4 linked regions of the Schizosaccharomyces pombe genome follow. Changing the gene in region 3 together with the main gene of any one other region gives a genetic interaction. Each region holds a gene or a part of one and is shown on either strand. Other genes may lie near its edges.

Evidence for each region.
Region 1: mutations in cut1 (region 3) and pib1 together harm fitness more than expected from each alone (negative genetic interaction), as found in Schizosaccharomyces pombe (one large-scale study listed by BioGRID).
Region 2: of cut1 (region 3) and sak1, extra expression of one is lethal in a mutant of the other (dosage lethality), as found in Schizosaccharomyces pombe (one study listed by BioGRID).
Region 4: mutations in cut1 (region 3) and nuc2 are lethal when combined (synthetic lethality), as found in Schizosaccharomyces pombe (2 studies listed by BioGRID).

The regions. Positions count from the first base shown.
Region 1 is NC_003423.3:2,390,388-2,393,926, forward strand, and holds pib1 (ubiquitin-protein ligase E/phosphatidylinositol(3)-phosphate binding protein), read right to left. Parts: upstream 1,711-3,539; coding exon 871-1,710; 3' UTR 550-870; downstream 1-549. Other genes in the region: tRNA dihydrouridine synthase Dus1, read left to right, coding at 1-479; protein mug20, read right to left, coding at 2,164-2,217, 2,272-2,539, 2,583-2,716; tlg1 (SNARE protein Tgl1), read left to right, coding at 3,287-3,315, 3,407-3,539.
Region 2 is NC_003424.3:3,146,423-3,151,489, reverse strand, and holds sak1 (DNA-binding transcription factor Sak1), read left to right. Parts: upstream 1-1,770; 5' UTR 1,771-1,982; coding exon 1,983-4,283; 3' UTR 4,284-4,542; downstream 4,543-5,067. Other genes in the region: tryptophan--tRNA (Trp) ligase Msw1, read right to left, coding at 1-164; rRNA processing protein Fcf2, read right to left, coding at 4,931-5,067. UniProt on the Schizosaccharomyces pombe protein: Positively regulates cyclic AMP-dependent protein kinase-mediated exit from the mitotic cell cycle.
Region 3 is NC_003421.2:641,436-649,436, reverse strand, and holds the start of cut1 (separase/separin), read right to left. Parts: upstream 6,029-8,001; 5' UTR 5,626-6,028; coding exon 3,536-5,625; exon of another isoform or gene 3,497-3,535; coding exon 3,195-3,496; intron 3,154-3,194; coding exon 2,859-3,153; intron 2,821-2,858; coding exon 21-2,820; 3' UTR 1-20. Other genes in the region: taf5 (transcription initiation factor TFIID subunit 5), read left to right, coding at 6,993-7,299, 7,513-8,001. UniProt on the Schizosaccharomyces pombe protein: Caspase-like protease, which plays a central role in the chromosome segregation by cleaving the rad21 subunit of the cohesin complex at the onset of anaphase. During most of the cell cycle, it is inactivated by securin/cut2 protein.
Region 4 is NC_003424.3:4,496,142-4,501,130, forward strand, and holds nuc2 (anaphase-promoting complex TPR lobe subcomplex subunit Apc3), read left to right. Parts: upstream 1-1,954; 5' UTR 1,955-1,990; coding exon 1,991-2,294; intron 2,295-2,339; coding exon 2,340-2,510; intron 2,511-2,616; coding exon 2,617-4,139; 3' UTR 4,140-4,440; downstream 4,441-4,989. Other genes in the region: tif471 (translation initiation factor eIF4G), read right to left, coding at 1-163; alpha-aminoadipate reductase phosphopantetheinyl transferase Lys7, read left to right, coding at 829-891, 935-1,648; 1-acylglycerol-3-phosphate O-acyltransferase Slc1, read left to right, coding at 4,493-4,818, 4,882-4,989. UniProt on the Schizosaccharomyces pombe protein: Component of the anaphase-promoting complex/cyclosome (APC/C), a cell cycle-regulated E3 ubiquitin-protein ligase complex that controls progression through mitosis and the G1 phase of the cell cycle.

The sequences.
Region 1 (3,539 bases), on a different chromosome or scaffold from region 3:
ATCCCCGTATTTTTCTACCTCCCTCATCACCTCTCATGACTTTATACCCACGAATCGATGATATGTGCGAAGAGTATCTTAACATAATCAGAGAATTCAAGTTGGAATCAGATTATAGTAGTTTGTCTGCTATAAAGGGCCATCTTTTTAAATTAATGAGACCTCTGTTGAGTATTCACACTGATATTCGAAGTAAATTAGCACAAGGTTGTACCCCTCGTGATTTTGAGACGTTTCCTCCTGTGGTTGCTATGCTTCGGAAAAGATTACTAGAATGCGAAGAGAAGGGAGAAATTAATGAAGATAAAGATGTTAAGGAATCTGTTAAAGATTCTATGGGTTACCCTGTTATTCCTTGGTGGCGTGTCCAGCCTTACATTCGGCCTCTGGAGGTTCCTCTAGTAACCAAGCGAAAGCCAGTTGAAGTAACCGCTGATGAGGGACCTGTAAAGAAAAAGGTCAATGCTTCTGTGGCATAGTCCATAATTCTTTTTTTTTGTTTTGTTCTGGCATTACTATACTAATATAGGCAAATTATTTTGGTGGTACATAATCATTGAGTTCATTTAAAATAATATTTTTACTGAGATTAAAAGTTATATTATATTTGTAAGGATATAAAATATGCGAAACGATTTGTAAAGGCATTAAAGTATTAGTATATGTATAAAAATTCGACATCCCAATGTATGATTACAATGCAAGAAAAACAAATTCGAAAAGAAAGGGCATAACTGAAATAAATAACCAAGTAATGATACAATGTTAGATGCCTATACCTAGAAATAATAGGAGAGAGAAGACAGCAATTTAATCATGCAAAAGCAACCGAAGCCGAAATTAGAAACCTAGAAGTAATTTGGAACGATATTAAGATAAATGCAGTGTAGCGGCATGAACAGGACAACCAGCAGCCCCAGTACTCAGCCAATCACGATAACATTTTAAATGAAAAATGCATAGACAATATTCTATCCTTGCAACTCTATCACCAGCAGCAAATTCTTCAAAGCATATAATACATTCTTGCCCCAGGCAAGGAGAAGTCTCTGATAGCTGCATACTTATGTATCTTCTAGCGTGTTTCAAAAATTCAGTCATGTTTCTTGGAGATGAACTATTATTACTTAGACAATTCGCAACATGAGATTCCCGTTCAGAAAGGGTTTTAAAACTTGAGAGAGGAGCATAGCAAACTGGACATTCAACAAAATCATCAGGCTCTTCAATCCTCTGCAAATTGTTTCCACAGGAAGACTGTATAACTTGATTGTTAGATCGAGTAGTGGTATCATCGTTCAAACAAGTAGTGATAGGATAGGGTAAATCCAGTTCTTTTAGTTCCGACAATTGCTGACGACAATTGACACAAACTCGTACATTGATCCATGAAGAGTCTTGTGAATCATTATCATCATCATTATCATTAGCAAGAAAATCAGGATCTCTAATAAACATGTCTTGTGGGATAAGATCCTCAGTTGGATCTACTGAAACACTGCTCACAGGAAGCTTTGCAAAACTATTGCAGCAATTGTAACAAAAAAGTTTACCACACCATCTACAATGATGTCTTCTCCGAAACCAGGTAAAAGGACCACCACAATTATTGCACTGCGCACTTTCATCGTCCAGTTGCCAAATTGCCGCCGGCGTTTCAATGAGTAAGCGTCTCAAAGCCTCTGGATAAGTCGTCTCATCCTCGTCCATACTCAATTTGATAAAAATTCATTAAACTATGTTCGAGAGCAAAAAGTTGAGTACCCGCTAGAATGGTGTTGAAAGTTGCCTCAGGAGATAAGGTCAAAACAAAAGGGTAACTTATACTGATCAAAGGAATATGATTACCGGTGGAAGTGGAAAACTCACTGCATATCGCAAAATAAATTTTTTAAACTTCGTTAACGTAAGAGAATAAGATAATAAGTCATTTAGAATATCAATTGTAGTAAATATCAAAAAGCTATCCAAGAAGAATAACTTTATCAGAAATTACGCATTTAAACATCTTTTCTTTATGTATGTTTCATAGAGCTCAGAAGCAAATTTAGCGCCGTTTCATTTAGACCTTAATATAACGATGTCAGCGTGTTTGATGAAAGTTGACTTTCTTCGTTATTATCAAGCTTGGTTTGAGGCAGTATGACATTAGATCTCTGAAATTTAAAAATTGTCGAGAATAGCTTTATGAGTTGAGGTTTCAATCATCTTTAGTTTCTTTAAATTTATTGAGGTTAGTAATATGACAATATAATTTGTTTTTATGTTTACCTCCATTGCACATTTGAGCTTATTTTGGGAATTACGACGATGCTGAACTAAATTCTTCTCAAAATTCTGGGAAAGTGCCTGAAATTCTTCCAATGCATATTCTTGGGAAGAAATAGAAGAGATCTTACTATTGACGGACTCCAATTCTGCGTTTATACTATTATATTCCACCAACAGGTTTGACAGGTTTTTCGAAGCATCCAGCTGTAATTTATCTAAAGCACGAAGCTTCTCCTCTGTCGTTCTTAGGCTTTCTAAAATCACGTCTCTGAATTGTTGGGTCAATTAGCTGAAGAAACTTATGGACGTACTTGACACGTGCATTCAAAAAATATGAATGCAATGCACTATCATGATGCTCACTGAATGCTAATACTGCTTCAGATACCATGTTAGCATGGCGATTGCTCAGCTCTGTTTGCAAAGACGTTATAATTTCAGACATGTTGTGGTTCTTGATAACATGTTAATAGTGTCTACGCGTCTTTTGTTTACATCAAGCTAGCGATATATAGCGTACTGTTTTAGCTCACAAGACTTTCTTTGTGTTCAGTTTCTCTTAAAACATTTAGTCTTAGGTTTTTAGCAATAGAATTAATTTTTTAGCACAAAGGCTAGAATGAAAGATTGCTTTTGGCCATTGAAAACGTTTTATTTACCTAGATGTTTACATTTAATCTAACATACAACGGTGGAATACGGTTGAATCAAAACAAAATAGTGACAAGGGGAGGTTGCTGTTTTTTCAACAAGATTGAGATATTGCTTTCTTATTTATTCTCCATTACTTGTTTTGTAAGGACTCAATGTTTACGGTGATCTTTGAGTGAGCAGTTAGGTAGCGTTATCTATCGTAAAGTCGTTACTTGACTGAATCAGCACAGTACTTTAGTATTTGCAGACAGCATACCTGATAATACGAATTTGCTTCGTTTATTTTATATTATCTTATTTTTCTTTAAATTATAAAAGCATTTCCAAGTAGAAAATTGGCTCATATCTCTACATCATCAACATGGAGGACCCCTTTTATGAAGTCAAAGCGTAAGTTGTGCAATGATGAACCAGAAATGTCTTAATAGATTCCTTTTGTTGCTTTAAGATTTTATTTAACTGACATTTATTCGAAATATAGGGATGCATCAAATCAAATGGAGCAAGTGCGAAAGCTTTACAATTCTTTTATGGCCGCACGAAACTCTGGAGTCCTTTCACCAAATACTGAGCTTACTTACGCCATTGATGAGTTAAGCGAAACATTGAAGGAC
Region 2 (5,067 bases), on a different chromosome or scaffold from region 3:
AAGAAGCATTTGGAGAATGGGGTACGAGCGGCTTCCTCTTGTAGTTGAACCCATTGCTTTAGAGATCCCAAATAATTGCCAATGTGAGGAATTCCAGTAGGCTGAATACCTGAAACAACTCTGCTATGTGGAAGGAGAGAAGTGATTTTTGGAAGTTTAGCCATTCTTTATTACTTTTTATTTAATTGGTTTATAAAGTGAACAAATAAATAAAGATAAAGAATAAATGTAATGAAAATAAAAAAAAACAGCTGTGTTATAATCCAACTGATTACAGCTCGCAGACAATTTTTTCAAAAAGGAACAAGGCCGTAGAAACGAATGCTACACTTATGACTAGGTCAGAATGAAAACAAGCAAAATATAGGAGGAATGTTCAATGACACGCAGATAAGACAACAGGATAGAAACTTTTCTTCTCTACCAAAGATAGTTGATAAATGGTATCAAAACGGGATTATTTTTTTGGTAAAATCAAGTAGCTAAAGTTCATAACCATACAATTAAAGCGTTGCAATACCTCAGAAACTGAGAAGATGCCTATAACAAAAAATGGGATAAGAAACCCAAACTATGGGAGGAAAAAAAAGATTAAAGGCGGAAAGTGATATTGTTAGAAAGTATGGAGAAAATCCTACAATGGTGGGTATTTGAATTCTTCATAAAAGAAGGATAGTTTACATGGAGCGAGTCATTGAATGAACTTTAAGCCGTTAAAAATCTACCGAAAATAGCTCGTTTAAGCGTGAGGTTATTTTTTTTTTATTTTTTAACGAATTTGTTACAAGTGTCCAGAAGTTCGTAAAACTTGAAGAGAGCAAGTAAATTTGTATAAACAAACATGTTTTTTAAAGTATAAAAACTTTGTAAATGATATTTAAGTTGGTGTAGAAATTTAATGTAAAAAAATTTTGGATGCTTTTTGTGTACGATAGATCGACTAAAAAAACATACAAGAATGCGCAGGTCATGCCATTCTTTTTTTTTCCATTAATTTATTCCATATTGACTCGCCATCCCCACTTTGCGGTAAATAAGCGCTGCAAAGTTTCTCGTTGATTTTTACTTTCCTCCCTCTACCACTCCTAAGAAGAAAAAGGAAATTTTTTGACTAAATAGTCATGATTTCAGCAATATTCTACTTGTGTTAGTGATGTTTTAGCAGTAGACAATGATTTTCAAAAAGCTCGAAAATACGGGTTTTCCGCAATACCCGCTACTATTTTGGTAGAAAAACAAGTCATTGTTAGTTCGTCGTTTTAAAAACGCTATCGTGAAAATGAAGATTCTTTTGAAAAGATAAAAGTCTTTTAAATCCGCAGAAAAAAGAAAAAAGAAATTAAACAGAAGAAGCTTGTATGGACTTTACTTCGGCTATTTGCATTCATTCTTCACCTCCTTATGATTGGTGTGTGTAAGCATGCAAGCGACTGCTTTGGTTTAGGTGCAATGAAATTCACTATTTCATTTAACGTTTCAATGGTTCAAGACTTCGCAACGACGAATAGGATCATGGATTGATATCGTAAATAACAATTAACAAGCCCGAAGGAGGTGGAAAGAAAAGCAATTTGATGTAAAATTAAGCTAGCGAAGAATTAAGAATGTAATCAAGCGCCCCACTGCAGTGCCGTGATTATCCTTGTCTTTTAAACACCGAAGTTTAAAATCCTTGCGCTTAACAAGCGATAGTGATCGACGGTGGAAACATTTTTTTTACGACCTCGAGGAGTTGGCGCTTTCTTTGCCCATAAGCATCTTCTTGTCTTCACCACACTTGAGCATTTCCGACTAGCCAAGGCTGGTCAATTTGCCCCTCAAATATTTTCTGAGGATTTAATAGTTACGACGTATAGAGGGTGCTTTTTAATTTTTGGTATCTTAAAAAAGGTTTGTATAGTACCGGTTGGATGTTGGCAAGTAGATAATTTTTTGTGGTAAATTTTTGCACTTCCGATAAACGTTCTGTCAGGCACAGGATTATGAATCCATCTGATTTACCAGGTCAAATACCTCTGTCTAGATCAGATATGAATGTCCAAGATCAATTGGACCCGGTTCAACGCTTTGATACTCATTTTATGCTTCCCCAGGAGGAGAATTTTTTGAATCGCCCCTCCATAACCTCCGAATCTGCACATCCACGAGGAAGTGATTTAGAGCAAGAGACAGAACTAAAAAGACTTGCGTTGGAACATGAACATTACTCTTTAGAGTCGCTAGCGGAAAAGCTGCGAATGGACCACGTAAGTGCCAATTCGGAAAAATTTCGCCAGGTTTTTGGCATATGTTGGTTAAAGCGTGCTTGTGAAGAACAACAAGATGCTGCTGTCCAACGAAATCAAATATACGCTCATTACGTCGAAATCTGTAACTCTTTGCATATCAAACCTCTAAATTCCGCTTCGTTTGGAAAACTGGTTCGTTTGCTCTTTCCTTCCATCAAAACCCGACGTTTAGGCATGCGTGGCCACTCAAAATACCATTATTGTGGTATTAAACTGCGTGGTCAAGACTCTTTTCGCAGACTACGTACCTTTTCAGATTCAAGTCTTTCCCCCGTTTCCTGTTCTTCGTTTCCCAAACCTATTCCCAATCATTTTGAAAACGATGTTTCTTCTATTCAAAACACAAATCAGCGTGTAGAAAGCAGCCCTGCATCGGTTAATGCTGCGGCTATAGTTAGAAAATCCGCTGTCACCCCTTCATCAGATCCTTACAATTCGCCTCCTCCTTCTATACCTTTGCTAGGAAGTCAAACCAATTTGCAATTGGCTCCTTCTTTTGCTGCTCCACAAGCCCATCCCCTACCTTCACATCTTTCACAATCCAATGTTCCGCCACAACTTTCTCATTCTTCGGTACCTTCACCTGCACCACCCCGTTCTGTGTCCCAACCGACCTATTTTTCTCAACCCATGCCTCAGTTTTCTTCTTCGTTTGTACCCGGTACTTCTTCGATAGTACCTACCTTGCATCCTGCTTCTGCACAAGAAGATTTTAATCTTCAACATTCCCTATTCTTCAAACTTAAACTTAAATTCTTGCCTCCTCATAAGCTTCCTTGGATCCCATCATTAGACGTGTCTTCATTTTCCTTACCTCCTATTGACTATTATTTAAATGGTCCATACGATAATGTCGAGGCGAAATCTGCATTAATGAACATTTATTCTTCGCATTGCATTACTCTAATTGAATCAGTCCGGTATATGCATCTCAAGCAATTTCTGTCCGAGATCTCTAACTTTCCCAATTCCCTCTCTCCTTCTCTTTTAGCTTTGCTGTCCTCTCCTTATTTCACGAAATGGATTGAGCGTTCTGATACCGTTATGTACAGGGAAATACTGAAGTTGCTATTCCCTATGACTCTTCAAGTGGTACCTCCGCCAGTCTTGGTGCTACTGCGTCATTTAGCTGAGAATCTCGTTAATCACATATCCAGCATATACGCTTCTCATTCATCTTGTCTTCTCCAAGTCAAATCTGAGACTGCCGCAATCTTTAGTAACTTATTGTCTCGTCTTTTGCGTGTCAACGATACGGCTCATGCTGCTGCTAGGTTCCTTGCCAACCCTGCCGACAGGCATTTAATTTGTAACGACTGGGAACGATTTGTCAGTACAAGATTTATTGTACATAGAGAATTAATGTGCAATGACAAAGAAGCAGTAGCCGCGTTGGATGAGTGGTATTCTATCCTTTCAACCTGTTCAAATCCTTCTGAGCTTTTAGACCCTTTGAAGGACAAACATGAAGCCAGTGATACATCAATGAACAGGGTCGAACTTCGACAAATTGATGGTGTTTTAGATCGTATGGCAGATTTTTTTCTGGAGTTGCCTTCCAGATTTCCCTCCTGCTCTCCTAGAATGTTTCTTCTATGCCTAGGCGCTTTACAAACTAGTGTGCTTCGTGAAATCACGGTCAGTGGAGGTGAAGCATTTGGGGCTCTTTGGGTAATTAGATGTTGGGTCGATGAATACATGACTTGGGTGGCAGAGATTGGCGGATACCTCGATGATAGTTATGATGAGCTGGAACAGCATCATGCTAACTTTCATAATAAAGCTGGAATATCTCAGAGTAATATCCCTCCTCATTTACAGGAGCACCGTCAATCCCAGCAACACTTCCAACAAGACATCGAAGCTTTGCAATCACAACAACAACAACAAGCCACTAAAAATTCCTTGATGGAAGCTGCCTACCAGAATGCTCAGAAGCAAAAGGAAGACGACTATATATCCATTGTATTTGATACAAATGGTGCTTGTAGTTGATGTACAATATAGTTGACCCTTTTTAGGGCTTCGAAAAAGCAAGCGTAATTACACTGACAAAAGTTAATATCATTCATATTATTGTTTTTGTTTTTTAATATATGTTTCTTTTGTTCAGGAGGTCTATTTGTTTAAGTCTGTGAACTTTTGAAATGCAATTAGATTACTATAATCCTGGCGCTTGTTTCTTATGGGTGAACGTCCATACATATACCAAATTGAAAGTGACTATACTTTATATTTGTTTTTTATTTCTTTTAAAATTTCACTGTCAGTAAATAGAGTTTCAACATTTTTGTCTTTAATTTTGATATCGACTATCACATATGTATTGATTAATATAAATGTTCTCCGATAACTATTTTATAAAACCTATTTAAACTATTGAGTGTAATTATTGCATTTCTCTGGCAGTAACAAGAATATTAAGCCCATACAAATGAGGAAATTGGCATCGATATCATTCAACAAGAATAGCGAACCCCCAAAAAAACAGCATCATACTAAAAGCGAACTTTCTACGAGAAACTTCGTGTTTAAAAAACAAGACTTCAAATAAAATGTTTAAATATTCCCCTTAAAGACCATATATTAAATTAAAAAAACGACAAAATAACTTAAACAACGGAAAATGGAAACATCAACCACTATTTCAAGTAAGAAGGTTTTCGGCGCTGCTGAAGTTTTTTATATTGCCCCTTCCGTCCACTCATTTTCGATTTTTGTAATTCTAGATATTTTTTCTTGAAGTACGATCGTCTTTCTGAATCGTGCAATAATTCGT
Region 3 (8,001 bases):
AAGTAAGAATTTTAGACAGTTTATGGAATAATATAAGCAGGTATTCCGTATATCACAGGAGCTGCTCCGTTCAAATAGCGTAGATGACAGCATGAACGACTTTCGCTGACCGCTGTGCATATACTCGTTGAATTCACAAAAGGTGCCTTATTTTCAAAGAGTCCCCAGCTTTCAAGCATCTTCAAACTGAACCTATCGATGTCTTTATCGGTGACATCCCATAAGTTTGCAACTAACGTTGGACACCCAGCACTCAAATAATCCAAAGGAGTCCCCCATGGCTCAAATGAGCCACATTCATACAAAGCACCAGAACTACAACCCATCAGTATAGTGACTGCACACCTTTTTAGAGTGGCCAGGTCATAAGATGTTGTATATTGCTCTCCTCCTCCATGTCCGAAATATAGAAAAAAATCATTACCTGAAAGCATTTTAATAAAATCTCTATTAGAAGGTTGACTAGCAATTAATCCCTTCCACCCACCTTCAACTAGTTTATGTTCAAACATTTCTTGAGTATGCTTAAGGTCCAAACTAGGATTTAGTATATATGAACCTGCTTCTTTACGCACTTCAACATACTCTCCATTAACGACAAATGATTGGGACAAGATGTCCCGCAGAATTGATAATGAAGGCACACGTGATACCGATTGTCGGTTTAGGCATGGTAAAGATTCCCACGGAAATTGGTGAACTGATTTATCCAGTACAAGGACCGTATGACTCCTGTTCTCTTCAGAGACATAATTGTTGAAGTAGGCATTTAGAGCATCCTGAAGATCCATAGATAGTTGATCAGTATCAATCTCGTCGTATGCAAAATGAAGACCTCGGAATTGAAAAATGTCCAAAATAAAATAAATCAAATCCTCTAAAAGCTGTTCGTAACCTTCATACCCAGGTTTTCCTAAGGTGATGAATAGTTCTAGGATCTCAGGCGACAGTGTAGGGACAGGTGTTTTCTTGTCCATGTTAAAATTTTTAGCTATAATGTTTTGAAATTGACTGGAAAACTTGGCAAACAAAGAAGTATCAATTTTATGTGGATTGAAAATACCTTTAAATCCACCGAGCCATGATATTTCAATATTTTCTAAAAGTTGTTGCAAGCATTGATCAAGGTGTCTTCTTTCTTTCCACCAAGTTTCTTTGTCTTCTCTTCTAGTATAATGTTTACCGTTCTGAGCCATCTGATTACTTTTAGAGATAATTCGAAATAGCTCGGTTTGAGCTTTTGTAAACACAAGGATTTCTTCGTCTGCGTCACGTGAATTATGTCTTTGCAATGGTAAACGAAAAATCAGCGGAGAATGACCTTTGCGTATTTTTGAGATGAACAAATCCTCTCCAGAATTGTTAATAGTAATAGAAACGACATTCCAGATCGACGGTAATGAATCAATAAAATTGTCTTGAAATGTACGGACATCAGGTATAGATAACCGACTATTTAAAATTTGTTCCAAACTACTAAAATGAAGTTCTTTGTGCTGGTTTCTGAATTTCTGTGCTTCACGACGTCTATGGAATCCTAGAGCTTTAGGGATCTCTAAAAAAAATGAGGCTGAACTAGAATCGACGTCGGTCGTTTCGCCAATTGTGGTTAATGCACTTTGCATAATTGTTGAGTACGATATCAATTCATTGACCTCCCTGCAAACGCATACAGAGCTCCGCTCATATGCATTAGAAAATATAATTTCACAGCTTAATCTAACATTCTGCAAATTGATTTTAAGCCTCTCACGTAAATAATCTAAGCGCTTGGATCCCTTGCGAAATCCTGTATTTTCTCCAAGCGCTTTTGTTTTACTTTGATTTTTCTGAAATTTATGAGAAATTCCAGGTAATGAAATTACAGAATCGGGAAGAGTACGTAGGACGGGATCGCCAAATAGTGTGGAATCAGCTTCACAAACAATAAGCTTTGATTTTAAAATATTAGCTGAGACTATGTTGAAAAAACTTGCAATTGAGCATTTTGTCGAGTCAGTCATTAAAGCCTTTGCAATCTCCAAGTTTCCTCTTTTCAACTCAAACATAGAAATCAGACGAAGTAAATTGGCTGCCGTATTTTGAAGAATTGACCAGTCATCAAATTCAGTAGTATTAGATTCTGTAACAAAAGTTGGTTGACTTGAAAGACTGAGTCTTTTAATTCCTTTTGTAAGAGACTTCTCGCGGTTCCTATTAAAAAAAAGGTAATATTCTGACTTTATTATTTCTAAAAGTTTTACACATTCTGAATAGTGACATATGGCACCATCCAACTCGGATTTTGTTGCGCATACTTCAGCTGCTCCGTAATTCCATAAAAGTTTATGGTATGTATCTGTGCTTTTCATCGCCTCAGTAAGATCAAATAAAATCTTCTCGCCCTTCTCTAACTTTCCTGCCCTTGTTAGTAGTGAGCATAAGCGCAATTGGAAGGTAGCTGAAAAACAAGAAAACGGCATCTTTTCAGAAATACTGCAAGCTTGTCGATAAAAAAATTCGGCTTCTCGCGCCTGTCCCATGTGCTCATAAATCCTTGCAGCGCAAACGTTAGAGTGAGCACTGACAGCGAAAAGTCGCCAAGTAATATATTTTCCGCCGTTGAAATGCTCCTTTGAGCTTTTAGAAAACAATCCCTTAATAACCTTTAAATTTTGCATTATAAAGCCAAGAGAAACAGTGGTGTAGCCTAGTTGAAATAGGGCATCACTTAGCTGTATCCTTTCATAAAGCAAAAGATTGAGGCTAACAGTCCGACTTAAACCATTTGAATTGAAATCCTCTTCAGAAGAAAGAGAATATTTTTTTAACTGTAAAATTCTGAGCTCGTTAGTAACTATCTCACAAAGTCTTCATACCCTTTATCCGTATTTCCGGTTAAAATCAAATATTTACCATAAGAAACATTCCAAAAGTTTATAAAAGGACTGCTTTTACATTGACGAAGATAGCTATAACACTTGGTATAAAACAAGTGAGCTTTCCCTGAGAAGCCAAGCGTCATATATTTATCACTAAGCAAAGTACCAATGATGACCAGATACTTGGAAAATTGAAGATGAAGAAGACAATTGAAAAGTTCGTAAAATATCTCAAGGAAAGCCAACTCGAATGTTAGTTTTCCACTCGGCTCCACCGTATGTAAAAAACAAACTATAAACAATTAGAAACGCCGGTTACGATTGAAAACTTACAAAAAAAATTCAAAATTGAGTTAATTTCAAAATCTGTGAAGGAGCAACGAGAAATGACCGAAGAAAATCGAGATATAAAAATAGTCCACGACTCAATTATTGTAAGTATCCTACTATCGTCTTCCGCACGTCTGTAACATAGCAAATTTTCCCATGAGCATAATAGCGACTCGTTTAAAGCTAATTTCGCATTATTGTTGGAATTATGCTCTAGGAGATTTTGGTCACCTTTAATAACGCAAAGAACCATTTCCTCAAATTTAATGTCATTATACCCATGGTTTGCCAAAACGCAAGAAACACTAAATGTCAGCAAATAAGAAAATTGTAGAAATACTTACTTTGTTTTAAGCAAAAGGACCTCCTCTTTTTCATGTAACATAAGAGATAATTTAAAAGATAAAGCAGCAGATGCATTATATCGAGAACCTTCATTTGCACATTTAAAAAAAAGTTTGAGCAAGGAATAGCTTATTGATTCAAGCAATTTTTCTATATTTGAATCATTTATAGAAGTTAAAGAGTTGAATATACGTTTTAAAATGTTATCCAATACACTAGATTTTCCAACAGATGTAGTTCCAACATAGAGATCCAGTTGATTGAATGTAGTATGGAGTACATCACATTTTTCTTGCAACTGTAAAGAATCGTGGTACCGAAGTTGAAAATTTTTTAAAATTTTCAGGAGATATGTTTCATCATTAGTCAATTTATGTGATACAGCAATTTTGATACTCAAACTTATGCATTCACGTGCATAATTAACATTAGAAGATTTTACACACAAGTTGTAAAGATGATTGGAAAGCTTTTGAGGAAATTCAGCATCTTCATAGTAGGCTGCGAGATTTAAACAGCCTTCCAGAGAACTTTGAAATTTAGTCAACTCACTAAATGACCTAATTATATGAAATGTAAACATCAAAAACTTTCTTATTTTAAGTTGGAGATTTAAAAGCTCATCCTCGACAAGGATATCCCTCACAACCGATGAGAGTATCCACGATAAAATTTCTGATATGTTCAAAGCAAATACAGTATCATCAAAAACCGTCGAGTCATTGAAAAGTCGAAATGATCGCTCTATTGAATCCAATAAATGTAGAGCTTCTGAATATGGTAAAGCATTTTCGACAAAGAGCTGCTGAAGTGACGACAACTCTTGGATTAAATTGAACGGAAAACAAATGCTATTATCGTGAATTGATAATCGAAAAGAAAATAATAAAAATTTTAATTTAAAACTGATGTCTTCAAATGACAAAGAATAGCCTCTAATGACATATGCAGCGCTTAATTGGAAATCATTATATTTATAATAAAGTTGAGAAAGTTGAAGCAAAATATGCAACCTCGATTCTTTTGATAAATTTTCCAGAAGATGATGAAGTTGTGTCATATCTTTATTTAAAATAGATCCTTCAATATCTTCGCTTTTACATAATTGGACAACTTTTGAGAAAAGTTGGAGGATTCTCGTTTCAAGCTGATTTACATCAAACTCTTTATCGTCAGCTCTCTGGGAAGAAAGAATATTCAACCATAAAGCTATAGAGAGGATTAAAAGTTTGAACGATTGTAAGGCGTTATTTTGTATCATGGAAAATCTTGTCAACAAACGAGCTAAAATTTCTCTTCTCGAATTGGCCAATTGAACCTGGGAAGGAAAGCTTCTTTCAATCCATTGAAAAGGGCCATCTTCGCTTTGTAAGTTATTGATTGTATTCAAAGACAAACCGTTAATTTGACTTAAAGATAAACATCGTAATACATTGAGCTGAAATGTGACAACGATAGTGCCTATATTTAAGAAATAAGAGGCAGGAACCATAGGAACAAAAAGGCAGCTTTCTAATTGGATTTCTGAAACATCTAAAGTGGGATTAAGAAGGGTAGCAGTAGGGATGGCATCGTGGTCCCGATATGTCAGTAAAATTATAAGGTTTTTATGAGTTTTCATCAAAAGACTGATAGCTGGTTCAAAAATCTCCATGTCCAGGAGCCGATTACAAATTGAAACCCCGCTACGGATGCAATCATACAAATGACTTGTATTTTTGGTTACCACCTGCATTTGTTCGAGAATATATGTACAGCATTCTAACAGGTAGAAAACCTCGGGACGGTGAGCCGTATTTAATCTAGAAGGTGTACAAAACATCCTTCTAGTTTTCTCCTTATCTGTAGTGGATAGCTCCGCCCATTGCTTAGCTAAGTTACTGACTGCACATTTGAAAGCCACAAACAAATGCTCGAACGTCCACGAAGGTGCATCACGAGATATATTTTGCTTGAGGTCCTTTAATTTTACAGAAGCCTTGAGTCGCTTAACGAGAGTAATAGAGCAATGCTCAGGATAACTGAGAGCTGAAATGAACTTCTCTGGAGTCCAAGAAACTTTACTAGTAACGATTGACCTTGTAGACATAATGGAAACGAATGAATAGTAAAAAATATTAACCAGCAACAGTTACAACAATAAAAGGGATTTAAATTATTTAACGCCGTTCATGAAGAATAGGTTGCAAGAAATAACTAAGCCAATAGCAAATATCGACCAAAATATAAGATTTAATAATTTGACAGTGATTTTCAGTTCGCAAAGTTATATTACTAATTATTGAGAAGAGGAAAATATTAGTGACTTAAAAATCATGTAGATGTTTTATTATATGCTTATGAAAAGTAGATTAATCGATCTTCCCAACCAATAGAATATTATCAGCATTAATTAGAACATTGCAATAGTCGAAATTTGGAGCTGTTGGTTTTTATTTCGTCTAAAACGAAAAAACTGTCAAGTCGTCTCGCTGGATGAAGATAGGCTAGTTGGTAGCAAGGATGCTTTGGATGTTAAGGCAAATGAAAACACAGTACTTACCACCAAATCCCTAAAACTGGTCCAAAAGAAAGAAAACTGTAAAGAAGAAAATTAAATATAATTAAAAATGAATGTAAATAATTGATAGTTTACAGTTATTATCTACAGTCCATTACTTCATCGCAACCTACTATTTGTAAATTTCAATAATGTAAATAAATATATCAATAAATAAATAAACCGATTAAGACTCAAAACCATACAAATCTGTAACAGGAAAAAAAACATATAATTTCTGATAAACTCATTTTATCAATGCTACATCAATTTTTGTTATAAACTAATGATTTTGAAGGAAATATGAAATTTCCCAATTTTTTGAATTTTTTAAAAAAAACTTCTACATTTTCCCTATTTAAATTTCAACCCAACATTTAGTTTTATTTTAATAAGGGGCCCTACTATAATTTAATTAAAAAATTATAAACATCCCGAAATTGGGATGAAACTTCTAAAAAAAAAGTAAGTGAAAGTTTTTAAAACCGAATTGAAAATCAAAAAAGAATTTTAAAAAGTATCTAATTGAAAAAGTTTTACTATGCAAAACTTTTATTTATTTATTTTTTTTTTCTAGCGTTCATTGCCTCGCAATCCTGTGTTGACATTAAAACAATTTCATAGACAGTTCATTTTTGAGTAGGACAAAAGAAATAGTAATTTAGATAGGATTTCGACATCAAAACGCTCACAGACACTGTGGAACCTTTCCAAATTTCAGTTATTCATAAATCCTGCAAATTCCCAATTTAGCGTGGTACACAATGGTATGTTAATAGACACGAACTCGACATATGCTACTTCCTAGCAAGTTGCTTTGAGCTCTGCGCAGGTAATTATATGAATCACGGTCATTTGTAGATTTATATTTGGATTCTAATTAATTTCTTCAAGCTAGAGTATTGGAGAATTTAACCATGTCTGCCACTAATGGGCCGCAACCGCAGGATCTGAACAGAATTGTTCTGGATTACCTTGCGAAGAAGGGATACTCAAGGACCGAGGCGATGCTTCGTTTGGAAGCATCGGGTTCTGGCGTGTCAGTAGAGGAGAAGTTAAAAAGCATTGAGGAAACTCCAGATGCATACACACACACGTATACGATCTTACGAGACTGGGTGGATAGTTCGTTAGAATTGTACAAAGCTGAACTTCACAGGATATTATTTCCTATATTTGTTCACTCATATCTTAATCTCTTGTCTCAAGATCATTATGAAGCTGGTAAGTTGGTCATATTGGAGGAGGTTACGAATTTGTTACATGTTTGTTTCGATGATCTACGAACAAGAGGGGTATTTGAACTATTCTAAATACTTATTAGTTTCTTTATCTATTGAGTTTACAACTTGTCTTTATTTCTGAAACTCATTCCACTTGACCACCCATATTTAATTCTTTATAAGGATAAATGATAATTTTACTAACGTGCTATAGCAAAGCAATTTTACGAACTCTTCAAAGACGATCATACTGATCTTCATGACTTTGATGTAAAAAACTTAAAATCGCTGAGTCTTCCAAGCCATGTCGCAGAAGACCGCACTGCTCAACAATACCGGCAAAATAAATATCAACTCCATTTTTCTAGGATAACATTTGATTTATTGCTTCATTTCTTATTTGAAAACGTTTCAAACGGTGGGTCAATTATCATTAAATTAATCAATCAGCATATAGATATCCATATCGTTCCCGGACGTCCCACCGTCTTGGAAAATGCTAAAGTTATCAATGAACAAGAAGGTATTACCGGCCAATCCTTTGAACGAGGAGATGCTCAACTTCAACCTGTAAAGCTGCAACAAATGCCAATGGACAAAGAAATGGAAAAAATTGTAGAGATGGACTTAGAAGAAGAGGATATGATGCACCAAAACGATCCAAATAACCAATCTCCAAAACTATTAAAAGAATTTAGAAAGC
Region 4 (4,989 bases), on a different chromosome or scaffold from region 3:
AGGTATTCGTTGGCTCCACCCCTGAAGGCTTTACTGCCTGCTTTTCAGCAGTTGCAGTATTATTTTCTGAAGCTTTAGTGCTATTGCTTTTATTGGATTGACTGCTGGCCAAGGCACGAGCATAACTAAACTTTGGAGTATTTGACGGTGGTTTTGAAGACATTATACTCTTCGTTTATCTACAATTATTCAAAGTAATAAAACTGAAGAGACCACCGAATATTAAAACCTTAAATTAGTTCGTTTGTTTTATATACAACAACCGAGTTCTTTTCTTCCTATTTCTACTGAAAGAAAGAACACCAATTATAGATTATTATTGGAACGGAACAAGACAAACAAATGTAACGTTCTGTATTCCGTTAAATATTAAAATACCCTCCAGATGAGTTGATAATAAATTTTCAACTGAAGTGGTTGGGTTAGTGGTGGTGGTCAAGAGAAGCAATAGAACGAAGCAGCAAACTCTTCAAATTGTGCCGCTTACGTTCTATCAGTAAATTTAACGAAATTAAATCTTCTGCGATAAACACGTTTTATGACTGTTAATAGATATTCGCAAATTAAAGAAAAGCTGTTCTCCAAGGTAGAACAAAAAATATATTTTTTCGGAAAGTACTGTCGACTTGCGTTAATGTCACGCTTCATAATTCATGTTACTATTTATTGGTAGAAATTATCTTGATTGCCTTCTAACGAAATTATACTCTTCTTCTGGTTGGTTTCGAGTTTATGAGTGATTCTTGTTTTTGTGTTTCCTGGAAATTCTGGCATTGTTTATTGTAGTTTCTCATTGAAGAGTATTTCATTCGATTTAAATAGCAATATATGAAACAAAAAGTATATAGGTTATTAATAGATACTCAAGAAGCATGGCCTTTTGAAAGAACTGTATGTTTTTAGTTTTATCTAAACAATTTTTCTAATACGTTAGAGGATACCCAGTTTTAAAAAACTGAGCGATTCTGAGCGACAACAAATTGAGAGGTACTATTTCGACATGGATGCTAAAATGGCATTGGCTTCTATACTTATTAAAAGGCACTTAGTCTCCACGGCTCTCGAATGTTCACCAAATGAAGTACAAATTTCTGTCACAAAAGCCGGGAGACCGTATTGCCAATCAGCACACTGTCCTCCTATTATATTTGACTTTAATGTATCCCACTATGGGGGAATCGTAATTGTAGTAGGAGCATGGCTTCCATCAGATCCTTCAGGAATGCGACCGATCAATATTGGAGTTGACATCGTCGAATGTAAACCGTTAGCTTTTGAAGCATCATGGATGGAAGATTTCATGAGTGTATTTACTCCTTGCGAATGGAAGTTGATTAAAAGTTCAATTTCTAGTATTGATGTTTTTTTTTTGCTCTGGACTTGCAAAGAAGCGATTTTGAAAGCACTCGGTATCGGATTAAGTGGAAACCCTTTGGATATTGTGGTAACATTTCATAAATTAAATGAGCTGTTAAATTCCGAGGAAGTGTCTTTAAGAAGAGCAGCAACTGCAGTGTATTCAGGATATTCTTGGGACTTGGAAATTCATAAACTAATACTTCACTCTAGTACTTTTTACGTCAGTGTCGCCTTTCCACAAGACTGCGTAATAATGGATCTAAATTGGGAGACATTGAACGACTTGTAATTTTTTTTTATTAACATGTATCATCGCATTGTTTTAGACCGTGATGCCTCCTTTGCCTGTCTCCCTTAATGCTTGGATCGAGTTGCATTAGTAGTGTTTTTTTATTCTCTGATAATTTACCCAAACTCTTTTTGGATTTATCAGAGTTTACACAACTCTATACACCATCCAGATGATTTACCTATTTTTGTTTATATGTTTTTTTTACTAAAATGCTACATTGCTTTATAAGATTTAACATATCTTAACGATGGAGCTCAAACAATAACAACCACCTGTTTGTACCCACATGTTTTTGTTGACATTAACTCCCATCGTTTCCAAAACTTTAATAGATTTGTCATGACAGATCGATTGAAATGTTTAATATGGTATTGCATTGATAATCAGAATTATGATAATTCAATTTTTTATTCAGAACGTTTACATGCAATTGAAGATTCAAACGAGAGTTTGTATCTTTTGGCATATTCGCATTTCCTAAACCTCGATTACAATATTGTATACGACTTATTAGATAGAGTAATTAGTCATGTTCCTTGCACATACTTATTTGCAAGGACCAGCCTTATTTTAGGCAGATATAAACAAGGAATAAGTGCTGTGGAGGCCTGTCGATCGAATTGGCGCTCCATTCAGCCAAACAGTATGTGGTGATTTATTTCGCGAAACCTCTAACTAAGTTATCTAGTAAATGACTCAATTAGCAGTCGTGGACATCCAGATGCCTCTTGCATGCTTGATGTTTTGGGTACTATGTATAAAAAGGCAGGGTTCCTCAAAAAAGCTACAGATTGTTTTGTAGAAGCTGTCTCCATTAACCCATATAATTTCTCTGCTTTCCAGAATTTAACTGCAATAGGTATGTGACAGATGTTTTGTTGTGAATTAGTAAATTCACTTTTGTCAAAAAAAAATACTTATTTTCGTTTATTTCTATAATTGTGCTAATATATTTTGCTGAATAGGCGTGCCACTCGATGCTAATAATGTATTTGTTATTCCACCCTACCTTACGGCAATGAAGGGTTTTGAAAAATCTCAAACGAATGCTACAGCTTCGGTACCAGAACCGTCTTTTTTGAAGAAAAGTAAAGAGTCTTCCTCATCTTCCAACAAGTTTTCGGTTTCTGAATCGATAGCAAATAGTTATTCAAACTCATCCATTTCAGCATTTACTAAGTGGTTTGATAGGGTTGACGCTTCTGAGCTTCCAGGAAGTGAGAAGGAACGACATCAAAGCTTGAAATTACAATCTCAATCTCAGACTAGCAAAAACCTTTTGGCTTTCAATGATGCTCAAAAAGCTGATTCTAACAATAGGGATACGTCTTTAAAATCCCACTTTGTGGAACCTAGAACCCAAGCATTAAGACCAGGAGCTCGTTTAACATATAAATTACGCGAAGCGAGAAGTTCTAAAAGAGGAGAGAGCACACCTCAAAGCTTCCGCGAAGAGGACAATAATTTGATGGAATTACTAAAGTTATTCGGTAAGGGTGTTTACCTGCTCGCCCAGTATAAGTTACGAGAGGCTTTAAATTGTTTCCAAAGCTTGCCCATCGAACAGCAAAATACACCTTTTGTTCTTGCAAAGCTTGGAATAACCTACTTTGAACTGGTTGATTACGAAAAATCTGAAGAAGTGTTTCAAAAATTAAGGGACTTGTCGCCTTCACGTGTCAAAGATATGGAAGTCTTTTCAACTGCACTTTGGCATTTGCAAAAGTCTGTTCCTTTATCTTACCTTGCCCATGAAACTTTGGAAACTAATCCTTATTCCCCAGAATCATGGTGCATTCTTGCTAATTGCTTCTCACTTCAACGTGAACACTCGCAGGCATTAAAATGTATTAATAGAGCTATTCAATTGGATCCAACTTTTGAATATGCTTATACGCTTCAAGGGCACGAGCATTCTGCAAACGAAGAATACGAAAAATCGAAAACATCTTTCCGCAAAGCAATTAGAGTAAATGTTCGACATTACAATGCATGGTATGGCCTGGGAATGGTTTATTTAAAAACAGGGCGAAATGATCAAGCAGACTTTCATTTTCAACGTGCTGCAGAGATCAATCCTAACAACTCTGTACTCATCACTTGTATTGGTATGATTTACGAACGCTGCAAAGATTACAAAAAAGCACTTGATTTTTATGATCGGGCATGTAAACTGGATGAAAAGTCTTCGCTTGCCAGGTTCAAGAAAGCCAAAGTGCTTATTTTATTACATGATCACGATAAAGCACTCGTTGAATTGGAACAATTAAAGGCAATTGCGCCAGATGAAGCAAATGTTCATTTTTTGCTCGGCAAAATTTTCAAGCAAATGCGGAAAAAAAATTTAGCCTTAAAGCACTTCACTATAGCATGGAACTTAGACGGCAAGGCTACGCATATTATTAAGGAATCGATTGAAAATCTGGATATTCCCGAAGAAAATTTGTTAACTGAAACAGGTGAAATTTATAGGAATCTGGAAACTTAAGAAATTATGTCTTGTATTTTAGGGATGCCAAAAAATTGTCGAATGAATAAGTTAATGAGTTAGAATGTTTACGTCTTCATTCTGGTTAGGTTTAAAAATGATGATTTTCGTTTAGAAGTTATATATTAAAATAAAGGTATAATAGATATCATTAATAACCAATGATAAAAAAAATTGTGTATAAAATCACCGTGGGTATAACTTAAGTTTAAAGTGTGCAATTAATGAAATGTCCTCAGGCCATTCATTTTTATTACGAATCACCAACGTTACTATCACCGCACCAACCATACTTTAAAACGAAAGGAAGGGTTGTTGAAAGTTTGCTCTTCTCTACTGTGTACATATTCGAAATGGGTTTTATTAAGAGCACGCTGCTTGCTACTGTGACAGTATTTGTTGGTTTGTGCGGAATCAACCGATTTTTTACTCTCCCGAAATGTATTAGATATCACTTTCGCTATTTCGCATGTCACACATTTTTAGCTATTAGTTCTGCTTATGGGGTTATAGCCTCAGTTGTTGCACGTTTATGTGGTTATCCCGTAATGGGACAATATTTAACTGCAAAGGCATATTATGGACTGGCTAGTACAATCCTTGACTTTCGGTTTAAAATCGAAAACGAGGAAATTTTGAGAAAACATAAGTCTGCTGTCTTAGTAGTTAATCATCAATCGTAAGCATACCTCAAAATATACTTCTTTATGATAAAAAATAACTGACTTACAATTTTAATTAGTGAATTGGATATTTTGGCTATAGGAAGGACTTTTGGCCCTAATTATTCTGTTATTGCTAAAAAGTCTCTAAGATATGTGCCCATTTTGGGATGGTTTATGATATTGTC